Linked DNA regions of Saccharomyces cerevisiae S288C. The protein of the gene in region 1 purifies or fractionates together with the protein of each later gene. This does not show direct contact. Each region holds a gene or a part of one and is shown on either strand. Other genes may lie near its edges.

Region 1 (4,920 bases):
TGCAGACGGCACCTTCTTTGATGTATTCGGTGGGGAATTTGTAATTTTCACTAGGGACACCAGTGATGACCACATCTGAATCAAGAGAACACTTTTTCAACAGATCTTCAGAGTACTCCCCAAGGTCTTCCACATGATGCTTGTTTAATTTCAAACTTTCACCACGGGTGAATTTTTGAATGTTGTTAACGTCCACAGAGTATACTGTGGCACCGTCATTGGCTAATAGCGCCGCCAGTGGTCTACCGACGATTTCTGACCTGTTAATTACTATGCATTTCTTCCCATACAGTCTGTTTCCTTCTGGTAACAAATTGTTGTAAATTTTCAAGAATTCCAATATCTTAACGATAGCTAGTGGTGTGCAAGGTAGAATGGATTTCAAACGGTTTTCTTTGTCCAGGTATCTGACATTATGGTACAGGTTTTGGTAGTAAACATGATTTAACCCTTCTACATCTTTTTCCTTGCACACAACCTGTTGCAAATACTGATCTTGAGCATTACCGAAAACAGGAAAGTATACCATGATACCGTTCACAGAGTCATCGCCGTTAGCTTGTATTATCGCTTCTTCCAAAAAATCCTTATCTTCAATGACCCTTAAGTCATAGCGGAACCCCATTGACTCGCTAGTCTTTTGAGTCCATGTAGCATACATCTTTGCAGCAGGATCATTATTAGCTAGGAATCCCACAAGAAGGGGACCTTGACCATTATGTGTCTTCTTGTATTCCTCTACGTTGTTAATTATTTCGGTATTGAAAGTTTCGGCGACCTTGCTTGCTAAAATAGTACGACCAGGCTTCGACATTTCTCTATAGATTTATATTGATGGGTTGTGTTGATAGGAATTAATTTTACTGTGCTTTGCGATACTGTACACTTGAATAGACAAGGAGGTATTGTATCTCAGCCCAAGAAGAAGCTGGTTGCAAGGCACTTAAATACTTTGCGTAGTTGCTTTTTTTCCTTTTCTACTGAGTCAATATATCATAATAGTAAAGACAGTAATATTAGTCTTTACAACGTTGTAGAAATCTATTTACCAGTTCATTGGGAATATTAGGGCTTGTGTTGATTCGGGCTGACTCCGCCAAAAAGAGTCGCAGGGCTTTCATTTTTTGTCAGGACTTGGACTAGGAAAAGAATAAATTGTCTTGGGGTTTTTCGCAAAAAAGTAGGGCCTCTTAGGGTACCTTGGAGTAGCGAATAATGCCATAAAATATCAATTTATGGAGGTGACAGCCTGCATAAACAATATACTACAGCCTCAGTTGGGTTATTTTTTTTCGAATGCATATTTGAAATACGATGTCACTGTTCCTACGGATATCATTGTCATGCTATAAAAAAAAGAGCAACCCACTCAACAAATCAAAATTGCTGTTACAGAATGTTTGCTAGGCCATTGTAATGGGGTTGCGGTATTCCTGGTTGCATTAATATCGCCCACTGATATCTCAAACGAGGACGTAGCGTTTCTACATAGTAACTGCTCGGTATTTCAGAACACTTACCCGCAGTGAAAAAAATTTTTGGGCATCGCATAATCTATAACTGACGTAAAGGGAAGACATAATTAGCATCCTAAACCTTGTCTTGGGCCCTTTTTCGGCAGTTCATACCACCTTTTAATGATTCTGTCTAGGTGGTTGTTTTTTGCCTCCTTTTCTCTCTCTAAAATACCCGAAAGGATATAGAGCGGCAGTGAAATAATCTTCCTCAAGCATAATTCAAACTGTCGAATATACTACTAAATAGTCATTCACACTTGAAATCCTTCTCATCTGCATTTTCCCATTTGGTCAGGAGGTATAAATCATACAGAAAGGGACCTAAAAAGCAACAGACTAATAGAACGACCACCCGCAAAGAAAAGAGTCCTGGAAGGTTTTCAACGATGTTCACATTTATACCCATCACCCATCCTACATCGGATACAAAGCACCCATTGCTGCTAGTCCAGTCTGCACATGGGGAAAAGTATTTCTTCGGTAAAATTGGTGAAGGATCCCAAAGGAGTCTGACTGAAAATAAGATCAGGATATCCAAATTGAAGGATATTTTCCTTACTGGTGAATTAAACTGGTCAGATATAGGTGGATTACCTGGAATGATTTTGACTATTGCTGATCAAGGGAAAAGTAATCTTGTTTTGCATTACGGCAATGACATTTTGAATTACATAGTTTCCACTTGGAGATACTTCGTCTTTAGATTCGGAATAGACTTGAACGATCACATTATGAAAGACAAGGAAGTATATAAAGATAAGATAATAGCTGTTAAATCCTTTAATGTTCTGAAAAATGGGGGGGAAGACAGGTTAGGCGTCTTCGATAGTTTTCAAAAAGGTGTATTACGTTCCATAGTAGCAAAAATGTTCCCCAAACATGCACCCACCGATAGGTACGATCCTTCTAGTGATCCGCACTTGAATGTAGAGTTGCCTGACTTAGACGCCAAAGTGGAAGTTTCTACGAATTACGAGATTTCATTCAGTCCAGTGAGGGGTAAATTTAAAGTGGAGGAAGCTATTAAACTAGGTGTTCCGAAGGGTCCCTTATTTGCAAAGTTAACCAAGGGCCAAACAATTACTTTGGATAACGGTATTGTTGTAACTCCGGAACAGGTATTGGAGAATGAACGTCATTTTGCCAAAGTATTGATCCTGGATATCCCAGATGACCTATATTTGAACGCTTTCGTAGAAAAATTCAAGGATTATGATTGTGCTGAGCTTGGCATGGTGTATTATTTTCTTGGTGATGAGGTTACCATTAATGATAATCTATTCGCGTTCATTGACATATTTGAGAAAAACAATTATGGTAAAGTAAATCATATGATATCCCACAATAAAATTTCTCCAAACACGATATCATTTTTCGGTTCTGCATTGACCACATTGAAATTAAAGGCACTACAAGTAAATAATTACAATTTACCAAAAACAGATCGTGTGTTTTCCAAGGACTTCTACGACAGATTCGATACACCACTCAGCAGAGGTACATCTATGTGTAAATCCCAGGAAGAGCCTTTGAATACAATAATAGAGAAGGATAACATTCATATTTTTTCACAAAACAAGACAGTAACTTTCGAACCATTTCGGATGAACGAAGAACCGATGAAATGCAACATCAACGGTGAAGTGGCGGATTTCTCGTGGCAAGAAATTTTCGAAGAACATGTAAAACCATTAGAATTTCCCTTAGCTGATGTCGATACAGTTATCAATAATCAACTACACGTGGATAACTTTAACAATTCAGCAGAAAAGAAGAAACACGTTGAAATTATCACCTTAGGAACCGGTAGTGCATTGCCTTCTAAATATAGAAACGTTGTCTCCACACTTGTTAAAGTTCCTTTTACTGACGCCGATGGAAATACCATAAATAGAAACATTATGCTAGATGCTGGTGAAAATACTTTAGGTACCATACACAGGATGTTTTCTCAGCTAGCAGTCAAGTCAATATTTCAGGATTTGAAAATGATATATCTGAGTCACTTGCATGCAGACCACCATTTGGGAATAATCAGCGTGCTAAATGAATGGTACAAATATAACAAGGATGATGAAACGAGTTATATATATGTGGTTACTCCATGGCAATATCACAAATTTGTTAATGAATGGTTAGTTCTAGAAAATAAAGAGATTTTAAAGAGAATCAAATACATAAGTTGTGAGCATTTCATCAATGATTCGTTTGTAAGAATGCAGACACAATCTGTTCCTTTGGCAGAGTTCAATGAAATATTGAAAGAAAATAGCAATCAAGAATCAAACAGAAAACTGGAACTGGATAGAGATTCTTCATATAGGGATGTTGACTTGATCAGACAAATGTATGAGGATTTATCGATAGAATATTTTCAAACTTGCAGAGCTATACATTGTGACTGGGCATATTCGAACTCAATTACCTTCCGAATGGACGAAAACAATGAGCATAATACATTCAAGGTTTCATATTCAGGCGATACAAGACCTAACATCGAGAAATTTTCCCTCGAAATAGGCTATAATTCAGATCTATTAATTCACGAAGCTACACTAGAAAATCAGCTACTGGAGGATGCCGTGAAGAAAAAACACTGCACTATTAATGAAGCAATCGGTGTTTCGAACAAAATGAATGCTAGGAAGTTGATCTTAACACACTTTTCCCAGAGATATCCCAAATTGCCCCAATTAGACAATAATATTGATGTGATGGCGAGAGAATTTTGTTTTGCTTTCGACAGTATGATCGTTGATTATGAGAAAATTGGTGAACAGCAGCGTATTTTTCCACTGCTGAATAAGGCATTTGTTGAAGAAAAGGAAGAAGAAGAAGATGTTGATGACGTTGAAAGCGTACAAGATTTGGAAGTCAAACTTAAGAAACACAAGAAAAATTAGTATAATTCATCTTAACTTCTTATATTGTTGCTTTTTCAGTAGTAAATTATCTTCTTTAATTACGTTATTATGTACATATTCATTGGCTTATGTGCTCATCTGGTACAAAGTCTTGCCATAATTGTAAATAGTGTTTCTTTTCATCCATGTTCAAATCTCTTATTGATTTTAAACAACTATTAACCTCGGCGGCTTCTCTCTTCTCAAATTCTTTCCGTTCATTTAAGATATCTTCCATAATTTTCTCCCAGCTCTGCTTAACACGGTTATATCTTTTTAATACAATGCGGTATTCATCCTCTGCCGTGCGTATCTTAAGGTCTTCATTGTTACTGTTGTTGTTTCCCGGAGATAGTTTGTCAAGAAAGTTTTTCTTCTTGTCTAGATCCACTTCTATGATGCTTAGAATTTTACCAAGCTTCAATCTTTGATTTAAGATGGATTCAAATGATTCGCAAAATCTTACATTTTCATCAAATAATATGATTAGCTTCAGAATG
Region 2 (16,637 bases), on another chromosome or scaffold:
TCAAGAGAGCTTCGACGGCGAGTCCAGTTCCGGTGAAAGTAAAAGTAAAAGCAAACTAAATCTTGAATATTCTGCAGATATCGAGCCATTGAAGTTCAGAATGACAAAAACTAATAATACAAATGACAAATTAAAATATAGTAACAACGGCAACGCCACTGATTCATTTATGAGACTAAAGGAACATTTACAGAGAGGCAATACTTTAAATTCGAATCTTAGGGTCAATGAGTTTTACCCTTTCAATTCCATTGATACAGAGCAATTTGAAAACTATTTGAGAGAGCCAAAATACATTAAAATGTTGAAACGTCGGAAAAACCTGAAACAATTTAGAAGATTGTTTCTCGCGCAAGAACTAATGGCCTACGAAGGTGAAACGGTTACCTCCACTTCCAAATCATCTGAACCAACCTCTAAAGCTATATGGAGTACAAAGTTTAGCCGCGATGGAAAATTTATGGCCACTGGTAGCAAAGATGGTAAAATAAGAATATGGAAAGTTATTGGCTCTCCAGTTGAAAGAGCCGAATTGGACTCGAGTGCGGAATCAAATAAAGAGGCACGAGCCAAGTCGATGCGGATCAAACAGCAGGTCAGTTCATTGAACAATCCAAAAGAAAAACAATTTTTGGATTCTGCTACAGAGAAATACGAAGAGAAGGAAAAATTATTGAATTTGTATGCGCCTGTCTTTCACCCAACGCCTTTGCGACTGTATAAAGAACACGTGCAAGATGTTCTGGATATAAATTGGTCTAAAAATAATTTTATTTTGTCAGCATCGATGGATAAGACAGTAAAACTATGGCATCCCGATAGGAAAAATTCACTTAAGACATTCATACATCCTGATTTTGTCACTTGTGTGGAATTTCACCCCACCGACGATAGATTTTTCATTAGCGGCTGTCTGGATCACAAATGCAGGTTATGGTCTATACTGGATGATGAAGTTAGCTTTGAGTACGATTGTCAAGACTTAATAACATCTGTTACATTATCCCCTGAGGAGGGAAAATACACTATAATAGGAACATTTAATGGATACGTTCATATTCTGATGACCAGAGGTCTCACTCCAGTTTCTTCATTTCACGTAGCTGATAGACAAACACAAGAACAAAACGCTCACGTCATGGTCACGGAAACTGACTCAAAAATTCGTCATGGTCCACGTGTGACGGGTTTGCAAGCTTTTAGATCTCAACTGGACAATTCTTTCCGCTTAGTAGTTACATCGAATGATTCGAGGATAAGAATTTTTGACTTAGAACAGAGGAAGCTTCTAGAGGTATTGAAAGGCTTCCATAGCGGATCTTCCCAACACAAGGCACAATTGTCCATCTGGCATGGTCAGCCAATCGTTGTAAATAGTAGTGATGACCATTGGGTTTACGGCTGGAGGTTAAAGTCTTCGGATAGAGAGAATGATCAAGACGAACCTAAAAGGAAACCAAAGGGATTGGCTCGGTCCGGAAGTTTGAGAAGCATATTTAGTAAATCAATGAGTAGGTCTTCCAGCCAGAATAACGAAGAAAAACCACATCATCATTTAAAACTTACTAACTTACTTCCCTTGCCTCATCATAGCAACGATCATTATATCAAAAATACGGATTACATTTCTTTTCATGCACACAATGCCCCTGTTACTTGTGTTAGCATTGCACCGCCAGAAACTTCGAAAACATTATCTTTGTCTAACGATGTTATCTGCGAGCTATCTCTAGAGTTTTTTCAGACATCCGATAGTTTCGATGTTTTGAGTCGGAGTAACGACGATGGCATAATGTCAGATGTAGAGTCGTCTTTGGGCTACAATTCTAAACCAGGCTCAATTTCTAATGCTTCCGCCACCAGTGCTATCCCAGATGTCGTTGACGCAATTGGAACGATATTGATCAGTACTGATAACGTAGGGACTATTCGTGTGTTTAGAGCAGATATGCCCTCTGTTATAAGAAAGCGCGTGTTACTCAAACTAGAAGAATACAATAGAGAGGTTCGGAGAAGGTTTAACAGTTCTGATTCTTTGCATTCTTTGAGTCGAAGCTTCAACTCGAGAGCGAAATCAAACTTGGCTGGCCAACCGGCAGCGGCGTATACTAATACTGGAAAAGGCTATGCAACGGGACGTGGATACTCTAATATATGTCCCAAAAGCAGTACATCACTAAAAACACTCGGCAGTAATGCACAGCCAAGAACACCAAGGGAAAGCATGTCATCTATTTTCTCCAATGCACATGGGCCTACCACTCCAACGAGCGCAATGAATTTACCTATCCGTTGCAATGTTTGTAACGGTTCAAGGTTTGAGGCTTTTTCTGGTGCTAATGACCAACAAGATAGAAACTATTATTGCGTAGACTGCGGTACAGTAGTTAATAACTTCCGCTAACGCTGATGGAGTATTTTTTTTCCGTGGATGATACCTTTAAATGCATATTAATCTTCGTACATAAAGTAAAGAAACACGATACACTTAAATAAATTTTAATCTAATAATTAATGAACGCTAACAATGAGCCTATCATTTGTTGCCGATATACTATAACGTATCTCTTCGAAAGAACAAAACGGAGTGAGTGCCTGTTAAGGGTAACTACTCCAAACTGAGTGGACCTCGGCGGCTAAAGCTATACTTTTTCTGTTATTTAAGGGACCTAAAAATACACACAGAGTAGATTAAGATTTGGTGCACTTTTCTCAATTTATCAACTTATAAAGAACAGGCTGCCTTTCAAACATAGGACGTTTCTGTTGACCATAATGAAAATGCCCAGTATTATTCAGATTCAGTTTGTAGCCCTAAAAAGGCTTTTGGTAGAAACCAAAGAACAGATGTGCTTCGCAGTGAAAAGTATATTTCAGAGAGTATTTGCGTGGGTTATGTCATTAAGCTTGTTTTCATGGTTTTATGTAAATCTTCAGAATATTTTGATAAAAGCATTAAGGGTAGGGCCAGTGCCTGAACATGTCTCCTTTATCATGGATGGTAACCGGAGATATGCCAAGTCAAGAAGGCTACCAGTAAAAAAAGGCCATGAAGCTGGTGGGTTAACGTTACTAACACTACTGTATATCTGCAAAAGATTGGGTGTAAAATGTGTTTCCGCCTATGCATTTTCTATTGAAAATTTTAATAGACCAAAAGAAGAAGTAGATACGCTAATGAATTTGTTTACGGTAAAGCTTGATGAATTCGCAAAAAGAGCCAAGGACTATAAGGATCCCTTATACGGATCTAAAATAAGAATAGTAGGTGATCAATCTTTACTATCTCCAGAAATGAGAAAAAAAATTAAAAAAGTGGAAGAAATCACACAGGATGGAGACGATTTCACTTTATTTATATGTTTTCCTTACACTTCAAGAAATGATATGTTACATACTATTCGTGATTCAGTTGAAGACCATTTGGAAAATAAATCACCAAGGATTAATATAAGAAAATTTACTAATAAAATGTACATGGGTTTCCATTCCAATAAATGTGAATTATTAATCAGAACAAGTGGGCATAGGAGGCTCTCAGACTATATGCTATGGCAAGTACATGAAAATGCCACCATTGAATTTAGTGATACGTTGTGGCCAAATTTTAGCTTCTTTGCTATGTACCTGATGATTCTCAAATGGTCCTTCTTTTCCACCATTCAAAAATATAATGAGAAGAATCACTCATTGTTTGAAAAAATACATGAAAGCGTTCCTTCAATATTTAAAAAAAAGAAAACAGCTATGTCTTTGTACAACTTTCCAAACCCCCCCATTTCAGTTTCGGTTACAGGAGATGAATAAGTAAAAGTGCAAAACTAGAAAGCCCAAGAGAGGGCAAAGAACATTCTGAAAACTCCCTGATTCTTCCATACCTATTACCATATTACATCATTTTTAATTAGTAGTCTTTTAATTATCTATTATATCCGGTATATAAAATATCCTTGCGCCAAGTGTATAGCTAATAAAATGTAAAAAAAAAAAAAATTAGGAACAAAAAATAAAAAAAGCGAAAACAAAAAACTCCGTTAATGAATATTTCATGATCTTGTTAAACCTAGGTCATCGAAATCCCCTTGTACTTTACTCAGGTATGCTATTTTCATCCCTATTGCTTATTTCATCAGGTACGGTGGTGGATATATTAGGAGTGAACGTACTGGTAGAATTCGAAACATCAGCTGCTGTAGTAGCGGTGGCATTTAAAGAACTAGGCTCATTTGGGGTATTGACACCTGTGGTAGTATTCGTGGATCTCATATGACTTGATCCAACTTCGTGACACCAATACCTATGATATCCCCATGCTTTTAATTGACACTTTCGTGAGCAATATTTCGTTCTTTTGCATCGACGACATTTTGCAAATTGTCTTGGAAAATCTTCCCATTTTCCGCACGAAAAATTGGCACACTGACGCACACCTAAGATCTCATTTTTTCGACATGAATTTCTCATGATGACAGAACTCCAATATATAACATCATGTGTATTTTCTGCGCTCACTGTATATTTTTCGACTAAGGGGAAGATGTTTACAACATTTGTTAGTACCTTGTTTTTGTAAACAATATTTGTTAATTCCTTTTTCATTTTATCGTAGCTCCAGCGCCTTTCAAAGTTATCAGATATTTTCTTCCTTAAATTAATTCTTTCCTTGTCTTTGCCATAGGCATTGTCGTCGCTAGGTTTCGGTACACGGTAGCGCTCAAACAAATTAAGAACGGGACAGTGGTTATTACATATTTCATTTTGTTCTTCTTGTTGACATCTGTTTGAGAGTTCTTCTAATTCTTTGAAAAATGGATCCATTTTGCTAGTATCTAGTGCCTTAACTTTGGAATTGTTTTCAGGATTTTTCGATAAATAAGGATATAATGAAGACAATTTTACAGTTACGTCTCTTTCTTGTTCTTCTAAGTCATTCTCTTCTGAGATTCTCTGTTTAATTTTGTAAGCCATACTTCTGAACGATAGGGATTCAACCAGCTCAACATTTTGAAGGGTTGATTTCATATATGTATACTTCGAAACAAAAGCTAATAACTGAAGCGACCATATAACGTCGTCTTGTTTGGGGACAATTCTTCCGAGAAAAAATTCACGTGGAGTGGAAATTGTAGGTCTATTAATGTCTGGTTGCGAAAAGAAATTCTTATGTGCATCAAAATTTTCACTTTCTACTTCACTATCAATATCAATGTCGTCGTCGTGTCTTTCCTGGTCAGGTTCAAAATTGCTAGCTAGGTCTGCAAACCGGCCCCATATATCACTAAAATCAGTTGGAATTGTCATAGACGGTGCCACTAATCGTTCGTTTAGAAAATTTTTGTCAGTTGACAACTTCAATTTATCCTGACCTGTAATGAACTCTATATACTGCTGATATGTTTCATTCTCATCTTTTCTCATGAATTTATACATTGTCTCCGTGGTTATCCCTTTGAAGTCAAAGGTCATTGTTTGATCTTTGATGAAGTCGTAATTTTTATGATATAGTAAATAGTTATCCAATACTGTGACCAGCACAGATAAGACCCCAGACATTACCACTTTTTTACGAATTTGTTCTGTCCCTCTAGTACCTGTCAATACTAAGCACTGAAATGTTAAAGTCCATTTCCAAGCGCATAGTGCTAGTCTTTTCTCCTTCCATAGATCCTTTATGTTTTCGTGCTCATTAAAATTTTCTAAATCCAAATCCAGCAACTCAAACAAACTTAAATGACAACTCCTCAATATTGAGACTAATCTTTCGAGAGCACCGTCGTTAGCTACCGTTTCCCTAACTTTTGATGAATTAGAGGTTAGATATGTTAAGTAGTTTAGGGAGTTTATTAACGGAATACTAGAGTTGATATCCAATGCCCTTCGGTCATAGACAGTAGATGTTATTGTTACTATAGGCTTGTTCGACGTTAATGATCGATGATTAGAGTCTCTCATTTCTTTACCTTTTCTTTGTTTTGAATATTTCAAATTACGTTCTATACGCTGTTATGATATGTTAATATAGCAAAAACAAACAAAAACTCCCAGGGAAATGAATTGAAAAATGCAACAAATAGGGACCTCACCTTTGTATAATGGAAGATTCCCAAGTTTCACTTATAGTTGATCAATGGGTATGATGAAATTAGCAAAGTAAAAAAGGGAATGTTTAATGGTTCAACTTAGATAAATGGAAGGTTGAATATGAGAACCAACAAAAATAAAAAATAAATAAAGTCTCAAATTATCTATATCGCTCTAATGAGGAAGTCACTGTGCACACTTACAGAAACTATATAAAAAACGGATATTTTTCTCTTCAGGTAGGGAAGTTTGTCCAGCACTTTCTTCCTTGTGAGCTGCTCTAGGTCTTTCGTTTGTATAGGCCGACCATCAATAACCCAACTCTCAAATTTTGCCACTGAACACCCATACAATACATAACCAAAGTATTCTAGTTGTTATCCTAGCTCGATGCATTGTTGTAGTAGGCCTAATAAGAAGATAGTTCAACCAAGAAAAATAGTCAAAAGGCTTTTTGCCGTTTGAACCATCATAAACTTATGGAAGCCATCTAAATAATTTTCCTTTTTCCTGGTTCCTTTCTATGTATCCAAAGATATATATTAAGTAGCCCACTTCTAGCCAACTTCTAGCCCACTTCTTAGGTAGTAACTATACGCAGCTGCTCCAGGAGGGAAAGAAAAAACCAACGGTCTATATTGTAATAACTATTAGTTTTCTTTCTCTTTCCGTGGGCTTCAACGGCCTTTATATAGCTCTTATTATTCGGAGTTGCTATTGGCGGCTAATATCTTGCGAAAAACGTGAGAATATGAACTTTAAAGTACACATGACTCGATTACTGATAACAAAATTGAGAGGGAAATACATAAGTCAAAATAATAAATGTCTGATGGACCATCTAACAGTTCACCTCGATCTACATATATTTCAATGCGAGAATGATTAATTCTTGCCATTGACAAACAACCCTTTTACTGCCAGCGCCTTTCATAACCATGTAGTTTTATATGCCTAATTATAATAAAGCATGACATATAATGCCAACCCCATATTTATATAGTTAACTTGAAACCGAGATTCATCTATTGCACCAGGAAAAGTGCCTTCTTCTTAAAACATAAGTTACGTCCCGACCATTCATCTAAACGGCATCAATCATTGCAGCAGAAGAAATAGTGTGTAGATGTCCTCGTTCGCTAGACGCAGTCAATGATAACAAGGTCTTTCTTCAAGCTGTCTTTCCATAAAAAGGTATCGCAAATGGGGTCACCAATGCGCCTTTTATTTTTCACGCCGAAAGAAAACTTAGTAGGTCCCTAGAAATGAATAAAGAGGTGATTCTGAGGTTCATTATAAGCCTTTGGTAAAACTTGAACCAAGAAAGATTAAAACACAAAGCCATGCCTATCAAAGAAACTGATAAAGAAGTTGTTTTGACTCATCCAGCTGATGAGACCACCAGCGTTCATATTCTAAAGTACGGTGCTACAGTTTATTCTTGGAAATTGAAATCTGAAGAACAGTTGTGGTTGTCTACTGCTGCTAAATTGGATGGTAGCAAACCTGTGAGAGGTGGTATACCTTTGGTCTTTCCTGTATTCGGGAAAAATAGCACCGATGAACATTTGAGTAAATTACCTCAACATGGTCTTGCAAGAAATTCTACTTGGGAGTTTTTGGGTCAAACTAAGGAAAACCCACCGACCGTACAATTTGGCTTGAAACCAGAAATTGCTAACCCAGAATTGACCAAATTGTGGCCAATGGATTATCTTTTGATTTTGACTGTTGAATTAGGCTCCGATTATTTGAAAACTGCCATAGAAGTAGAAAACACATCTAGTTCCAAGGAATTAAAGTTCAACTGGTTGTTCCATACATACTTCCGTATCGAAGATATTGAAGGAACAATGGTCTCTAATTTAGCTGGCATGAAACTTTATGACCAACTGTTGAAGGAATCCTACGTCGACAAGCACCCAGTCGTTACCTTCAATCAAGAAACCGATGTAATTTATCAGAATGTCAGCGCCGAACGGGCCATTCAAATAGTTGACAAGGGCGTTCAAATTCACACTCTAAAAAGATACAACTTGCCCGACACTGTTGTTTGGAATCCATGGATTGAGAAGTCTCAAGGGATGGCCGATTTCGAACCAAAAACTGGTTACCAACAAATGATATGTATTGAACCTGGTCATGTTCATGATTTTATTTCCTTGGCTCCTGGTAAAAAATGGAATGCTTATCAATTACTTTGCAAAGAAGAATTGAAATATCAAGCTATTCAATAAATAATATAAAAAAATGTAGCAACGGTAATTTTTATAAAGTAAATTCCCAGTTGTATACTTTTCTTAATGTGGGCTATTTGATTACCTCCATCCTTTATCTTTGTTTTTGTTGACGAACAACTAAAGCAACATTCTGTTTACTAAGACTCTTATTTAATTCCAAGTGCAGCAAGAACAAATTGCCAAAAGCGTATTGTTAAACTTGTTCTGGCAGCATATTATCGTAAAATTAAGTAACGTTTTTAAAAATGACACTGAATTCTACTTTGTGATGATCAAACAACACCCACCTGGTCTGATAAAAAAATCTCCGCGACGGGGAATTGAACCCCGATCTGGCACGCGACAAGCGCCCATTCTGACCATTAAACTATCACGGACAAATTTCTGAAGTTTTGTACTTTTACCAGTCCATCTAATACCATATATTTTGATAATAATTATGTCTTTGACAGTAACTTATCATCAGGACTGTTGGAATAAAAATCAAAAATCAACTATCGTCTATCAACTAGTAGTCACACTACCAGTATATTATGATATACGGTGTTAGATGATGGCATAAGGTATGAGAAGCTGTCATCGAAGTTAGAGGATGCTGAAATGCAAGGATTGATAATGTAATAGGATAATGAAACATGTAAAACAGAGTGAAGAATAATCGTAATACTATTATGTAGAAATATGGATTCCATTTGAGGGTTCCTATATCCTCGAGGAGAACTTTTAGTATATTTTGTGTACTATTATTATAGCTGTTAAGTATAATTGGATCCTAACAATTCTCATTATTTGTCAAATTCTCATCATCTATATATTAGACGCCGCATATAGGAAACAGCGATCAAACTTTAACGAAGCGAACATACAATATTCCTGATGTAATAATACCAATCAGCGAACTGTACGAAACAAATAGAAGAACGTTATATTATATGGGATTTTACACTTTTTTGGTGGTATCATATATGCTTGAAAAGATCCTGCAGCATTTCTATATACCTGATAATATTGGTTTTATTAGAAATGGGGTCACAATCATCCGAACTATCGTAACTTTAGAAATAATCCGTCTTTCTTAAATAGTACTCTAGTACACAGTAATGGTATTTGTTTTTACTAGTATTTCTTGACATCTTTTTCTAACCTCTCTTCTAATATACTTGCAATCTTCTGATAATTATGCTTTTCATCCCGATAAAGAGAAACAATGAGGACCATTCAGCCAAAAAAAAAAAAAGCAAGTTAAGCTACTAAGAAAGATCGACACCAAGTGAAGATTAAGTGTAATAGCCTGCTTATTCAAAAATTGAGGTTTGTTGACATGAATAAATTCTGTCTACTACCTTTCCATGGCAAGAGGATAGGCGTGGCCAATATTCCTTTTACCATATTATTCAAAAAGGGCCCTTATTTTCTTCATAGTCACATCACAGCAGTTTATTACTCGACAAAGGGCAAAAATGACAGTCATGAACAAAGTCGTGTATCCAAAAAGTCTACTTTTACCCCTCTGGAAACACCTTGGTACCTCAGGATTGTTGACAATGAAAAGGAACTAATGGAAGGTAAGAAAAATAACCACCACACGATGAACAAAGAATTGGAGATACCTAAAACCTCTCCAAACTCATTAAGAAAAATAGCAGACCTCCTAACTGGTAAACTTGGTCTGGATGACTTCCTGGTTTTCGATTTACGGAAGAAAAGCCCAAACTCTGTTTCAGCCGTTAATAAGTTGGGTGACTTCATGGTCATATGTACAGCAAGATCTACCAAACATTGTCATAAAAGTTTCTTAGAGTTGAACAAGTTTTTGAAGCACGAATTCTGTAGTAGTGCATACGTTGAAGGAAACTTTAATGAGCGACAAGAAAGTAGAAGAAAAAGAAGATTAGCAAGAAAATCCAACCTTAGTAAACTATTAGGTAGAAGCTCTGAATGCTCTGCAAAAGACTTAAATAGTGAGGCTTGGTATATGATTGATTGTCGTGTCGATGGTATTTTTGTAAATATTTTGACACAGAGAAGGCGTAATGAATTGAATTTAGAAGAGCTGTATGCACCTGAAAATGAGAAATCTAAGTTCCAAAATATAGATTCAGGTAATGTCCCTACTATTTCAGGGGTAAATGAAATTTCAAGCAACAATAATATTCTTTTAGGCCTAAGAAGACTGGCCCAGCAAAGGAGAAGGTATTCAACTATCAACCCAAACGGGCTAAGTAATTTAAGATACTTTCTACAAAAGGAAGACTTCAAAGGAGCCAATAAGATAATTCAGAGTAGTAGTGGTACTGAAACTCACAATATACGTACTTTGGAGCATGTTAAAAATACTTTAAAGGATTTGGTAGGACAAGAGAGGAAAGTAGATGTTGTTCAATGGAAGTCCTTATTTGACGAACATTCAACTTTTTTAACCATAAATCAATCGGCTGCATATTGGCCACTACGACTAGAATATGCGATACTTCTAAACAAAGCAGACCCACAATTTTATTCAGATCGTGTTTTCCTCAAGGATTATCTACTTTTAAAAAAATCGTTGGGGCAAGAGTTAATAAGGGAAGATCTAATCGCTCTTTTAGAAATGGTTTTGAAAACGCAGCATTCTAGTCATTCATACTTTAACCTAGTAAAGCAAAATAGGGTGATTATCAGAGCTTTGAACCTATTTAAAGGTCTACAAACAGAGGACGATGGCTCAGTTGTTTACGATGAAGTGGTAATATCCCTTCTTTTAAATTCCATGGTCGCGGATGAACGGGTAAAATTGAGATCACTCTACGAGACAATAGACCACATTTTCCAAACATTTGGAGATAAGTTGACTTCAGGCATGATTGTCTCAATATTGCAAAACTTGGCCAAAATCAAAGACTGGAATAAGCTACTTCAAGTCTGGGAAGCTATCACACCAACGGAAGGGGAAGGTCAGGACAAAAGGCCCTGGAATGAATTTATAAATGTTATCAATCAAAGCGGTGATAGTCACGTTATATCGAAAATCGTAAATAATGGTCATTTGCTATGGATCAGACGTTTAAATGTTAACGTAACTCCGGAGTTATGCAACTCCATTAAAGCGTTATTAAAAACCGCTGGAATGGAGAATTCCACATTGGAAGAATTCCTAGTCCGTGGAACAAACAATCAATAGTATTACCTGTATATAATATCTTAATCTCTCGTCGTTCGCCTTATTTATATTTGAATCAAATATTTAATTCTGCCACATGGTAGGTTCATTTTGCCGCAGATCAAAGAACACGGACCATCATGTCAAAAGTACACAATTTTTGTCTTTTCGAAACAATTTGGTTTAGTTATTAGGAGAAGAAAGAACGAATGATAATGCTCATTACTCAGACCTGAATGCAAAAAAGCCAAATCAAATACAGAAATGCACATAAATGTGAGAGGAACTAGGAAAATAATTTCCAACGTTTCATCCTTCACACCAAGATATGAATTTCCAAAGTACAGTATGCCTCTCACTGATTTCAAGGGACACCAAGTCAAAGCTCTTAAAACATTTGAAAAGTTGCTTCCTCAAATGAATATGATAATAGAACTACGTGATATACGTGCCCCGTTATCTACAAGGAATGTGGTTTTCGATCGAATAGCAAGAAAGGAACACGATGTGATGAAATTAGTGGTATACACTAGAAAGGATCTTATGCCCGGCAATAAGCCATATATAGGAAAGTTAAAGAATTGGCATGAAGAGCTGGGAGAAAAGTTTATTTTACTGGATTGCCGAAACAAAACTGACGTCAGGAATCTACTAAAAATACTAGAATGGCAAAATTACGAACTAGAAACAAATGGCGGATATCTACCTATGGGATACCGAGCATTGATTACTGGCATGCCAAATGTTGGAAAATCTACTTTAATAAATAGCTTGAGGACAATTTTTCACAATCAAGTGAATATGGGAAGAAAATTTAAGAAAGTAGCCAAAACTGGTGCAGAAGCTGGTGTTACTAGAGCCACAAGCGAGGTTATTAGAGTAACTTCACGGAATACGGAATCAAGAAATGAAATATACTTGATAGATACTCCAGGAATCGGTGTTCCCGGTCGCGTTTCAGATCATAATAGAATGCTAGGACTGGCGTTGTGTGGTAGTGTTAAAAATAACCTTGTAGATCCAATATTTCAAGCGGATTACCTTTTATACCTAATGAACTTGCAAAATTTGAACGATGGAAGAACAGAGCTTTACCCTGGAAGCACCAATTCTCCCACAAATGATATATATGATGTTTTAAGAAGGCTTCAAGTGAATAAAAGCCAAAATGAAAAATCAACGGCTATCGAGTGGACTAACAAATGGAGGTTGCATGGAAAGGGTATCATATTTGACCCTGAGGTACTGTTGAATAATGACGAGTTTTCTTATAAAAACTATGTAAATGATCAATTGGAAAAGTTAGGAGATCTTTCGTATGAGGGATTGTCTAACAAACTAAAAGGGAACCCCAATCAAGTATTCTAGTAAATAATATCCAGCATACATAAGCTTATCTAATAATTAGATCATTTTACAATGTGTACCGAGTAATACAAAGTTGAGGGGGGAAAAAGTGTTATAATGCTCAAAATACCTGTTCAAAGAAATCACCACCCAATTTCGGAAAGTCTTACTCCATTGGAAGCATGACTAATAGATTCGATTGATACACCACCCATTAACTCTCCTAAGTCACTAGATACTTCCAACAATTTGCTGGGATTGTCAAAGTGAGTGGTAGCCTCTACTACTGCAGTGGCCAACCTTACAGGATTAGATGATTTAAAAATTCCTGAGCCAACAAACACACCATCACAACCCAACTGCATTAACAATGCGGCATCGGCTGGCGTTGCTACACCACCTGCAGCAAAATTTACTACTGGCAACTTACCTTTTTCTAAAACATCTTTCAGCAAAGAAACTGGTACCCTCATTTCCTCAGCAACTTTTGCAATGTCATCTTCGCTCTTCAATTGTTGGCACGCCTTTATCTCCTCTGTAATTCTCCTTATATGCTTGACGGCTTCAGAGACATCGCCCGTTCCAGCTTCACCCTTGGTACGAATCATAGCGGCGCCTTCATTAATTCTTCTCAAAGCTTCACCTAAGTCTTTAGCGCCACAAACAAATGGAACTTTGAATTTGTCCTTTTCAATGTGGTGAGTCCAATCAGCAGGAGTCAAGACTTCACTTTCGTCAATATAGTCAACTTCCAATGCCTCAATAATTTGAGCTTCAACAAAATGGCCAATCCTTACCTTAGCCATGACGGGAATGGAAACGGAGTTCATGATGTCCTTAATCATCTTCGGATCTGACATGCGGCAAACCTTTCCTGACTTACGCATATCTGCTGGGATGGATTCTAATGCCATTACCGCACATGCACCAGATTTTTCAGCTATTTTTGCCTGCTCTGGAGTAACAACATCCATAATAACGCCACCTTTTAACATTTGGGCGAGACCACTCTTGATCTTAAAGTCTTCTCCAGTCATCGTGATAATTAACTGAATATTAGTACTGTGTATATTTGCTAGTCGTTCCTAAAGGTTTCTCCAACAATACCATAGACTTCGTCCATAGCTCTCAGCGTCCTCCTATTTATATCGAAAATGGTACTTCGCAGCCAGAATTACAGACGTAACTAACGGTGCGGCAGAGTGTGTCAGAGTCATGAAGAAATGGCGGCGCTACCTGAAAAGTAGTGAAAAAGCCCGGCTTTCAACCCTTACCCTTGTCGGCTGAGTCATTATGTCATGATGAGCTATTCCAACTAGTGCCATAAATTCCAACTGAGTCAGTAAACGGCATTTATCAGCAATAACTGGTCACGAACTCTTTGAATGTTTTATTCTTTCTTCCAAAAATCACGTTGATGCCACCAGGTTTTTTTTTCTTATTATTTCATTTCGTTAAATAGAAAGAAAAACCATATCTTAAAGTATGCACAAAACCCACAGTACAATGTCCGGAAAGTCGATGAAAGTAATTGGGGTTTTGGCGTTGCAAGGTGCCTTTTTGGAGCATACCAACCATTTAAAAAGGTGTTTGGCTGAAAACGACTACGGAATAAAGATAGAAATCAAAACTGTAAAAACTCCTGAGGATCTAGCCCAGTGCGACGCCTTAATTATTCCCGGAGGAGAATCTACGTCGATGTCCCTCATCGCTCAAAGAACAGGCTTATATCCTTGTTTATACGAATTTGTTCATAATCCGGAAAAGGTAGTTTGGGGTACTTGTGCTGGTCTCATCTTTTTAAGCGCGCAATTAGAAAACGAAAGTGCCCTAGTAAAGACTTTAGGTGTGTTGAAGGTCGACGTGAGAAGAAACGCATTTGGAAGACAAGCTCAATCTTTTACACAAAAGTGTGATTTTTCCAATTTCATACCTGGCTGTGATAATTTTCCTGCTACATTTATTCGCGCACCCGTGATCGAGAGAATTCTTGATCCTATCGCGGTTAAAAGTTTATATGAATTGCCAGTGAATGGAAAGGATGTGGTTGTAGCTGCAACGCAAAATCATAATATCCTTGTGACTTCTTTTCATCCAGAGCTTGCTGACAGTGATACAAGATTTCATGATTGGTTTATCAGACAGTTTGTTTCTAATTAAAATACCGCCGGTTTTCCACATTTTTATATTACCAAAACCTGAGAGATTTTTTCACATCGATAAATCTCTACTCGTTTACTATCGAACAATGCTCTAGGTACGATGATATTGTTAAAAACTTCAGATACATTTTGTAGCTTGATATGGTTCAAAGTCCGAAAAGATAGCCAAACTATTGCTTGACATCGAAGGTATGTTATTTGATTAATTTCACTTTTGTCAAGCTCTTTTATTCTTGTGTGTCGTAAATTAAAAAATTTTGTGAATTTACTATCATCTTCCTTTATGTACAACGATTTAAAAGTTCTCTTATCGACTTTTAGTTCCTTTAGTATATTTTCCTCGATGTTCCACCACTTGATTTTACTTACACGTTTCATTGTCAGAGATTTAAAATTTTTGGGAAAGACAATGCTATTCAGGTCGATGTAAGCTACTCTACTTAATACAAGCTTTTGCAAGTTGTCCCATCTTGTAAAGTCAGCTAGTCCGGTTCTGGAAATTTGATTCATGCGTGATAGGCGTATTTCATTTATCCTACGTTTCACTATGTAACTAATCGTTTTACCAGGATTGTCTCTGAACCCATGAAAATTTATTAGCAACTCATATAATTTCTCTCCTCTCACAGTGATCTTCCGCAGGCTCTTCATGGATTCCATACTTCTTATTGTTCTTATAACAGAAATACTTGTTAGTTGGTTGTGCGTTGCTCCCACATTGCCATTATCTGAATGTGATCTTTTGGATGCTGACCTTTTCTTGTTTTTAATTGTGGAGCTAGGTGAGGAGTTTTCGTCAGAATTAGCTCCACTAACATCAACATCTTTCTCTTCTCCTACTTCTTCATCTTGTCCAAATTGTACCTCCCCGATTGTTGCGAATAAATCTTTCTGTTCTAAAATTGATAAGCATTTGTCTACTAGTTGTGGAGTTAGATTATCAATGTTGAATTGAATATTACTTACATTAAGTAAGTCAAGCTCGTCAAAAGCAACACTGTCTATCACCCACTTCTTGTACTCTTTAAAAGTATACCAAACTTCTAACATACTGGCCTTATTGAAGTAGGCCAGTCGAAGTTCATTATCAAGGTACGTCCATTCTAATGCATCTATAAGCGTTCCGTCATAAAGATGGTTTACTTTGAAACAGTCCAAAACCAGGCAATCATAGCGCAACCAAAATGCATACTCAAGCCATTTTTCAATGAGTTGCGGAGAGTATTCGAAAATGTTCAAATACGTGGCAAAAACAGGATACATGTATCTCAATAATTTCTTAGATCTCTTAGACCTTTTATAACTTGGTTTTCCTGGAAGCTCCACATCATTAGATTTGTATAATATATCTATTGGGTAGGGATGTGCTCCGCAAAAATTACCATCTAAATGGAAGTAAACTTCTTTTCTAATGTCAATTGGTAACTCTAAGAATCTAACAGGATTGAAAGAAGGCATCAAGCGACATGGACTTCTGGGGACTCACAGTCAGCTTTCTGTTGATAGCATCTCATCTCACAATGTTTTGTTTTCAAGCCCTCGAAGGTAGTTAAACGCGAAAACGTATCAAAATGCAAAGCACTCTAAAATGAAATTTATACAGGTTCCTTTTTTCAATAAAAAGAGAAGATATTATTTTTTTCGATTACAATGAGAAAGAGATATATA

The links.
Region 2: the proteins of TRZ1 (region 1) and YMR099C purify together in Saccharomyces cerevisiae (affinity purification with mass spectrometry; 3 studies listed by BioGRID, with this or other methods). This does not show direct contact.

Annotation. Positions count from the first base shown.
Region 1 is NC_001143.9:586,289-591,208, reverse strand, and holds TRZ1 (tRNase Z), read left to right. Parts: upstream 1-1,903; coding exon 1,904-4,420; downstream 4,421-4,920. Other genes in the region: MTD1 (methylenetetrahydrofolate dehydrogenase (NAD(+))), read right to left, coding at 1-814; VPS501 (sorting nexin family protein), read right to left, coding at 4,500-4,920. UniProt on the Saccharomyces cerevisiae protein: Zinc phosphodiesterase, which displays some tRNA 3'-processing endonuclease activity. Probably involved in tRNA maturation, by removing a 3'-trailer from precursor tRNA.
Region 2 is NC_001145.3:455,615-472,251, reverse strand, and holds YMR099C (glucose-6-phosphate 1-epimerase), read left to right. Parts: upstream 1-7,424; coding exon 7,425-8,318; downstream 8,319-16,637. Other genes in the region: LAF1 (Laf1p), read left to right, coding at 1-2,404; SRT1 (ditrans,polycis-polyprenyl diphosphate synthase), read left to right, coding at 2,776-3,807; MYND-type zinc finger protein MUB1, read right to left, coding at 4,090-5,952; ATP25 (Atp25p), read left to right, coding at 9,643-11,481; putative GTPase MTG1, read left to right, coding at 11,725-12,828; pyridoxine biosynthesis protein SNZ1, read right to left, coding at 12,951-13,844; SNO1 (putative pyridoxal 5'-phosphate synthase), read left to right, coding at 14,293-14,967; CTF13 (Ctf13p), read right to left, coding at 14,991-16,427. UniProt on the Saccharomyces cerevisiae protein: Catalyzes the interconversion between the alpha and beta anomers from at least three hexose 6-phosphate sugars (Glc6P, Gal6P, and Man6P).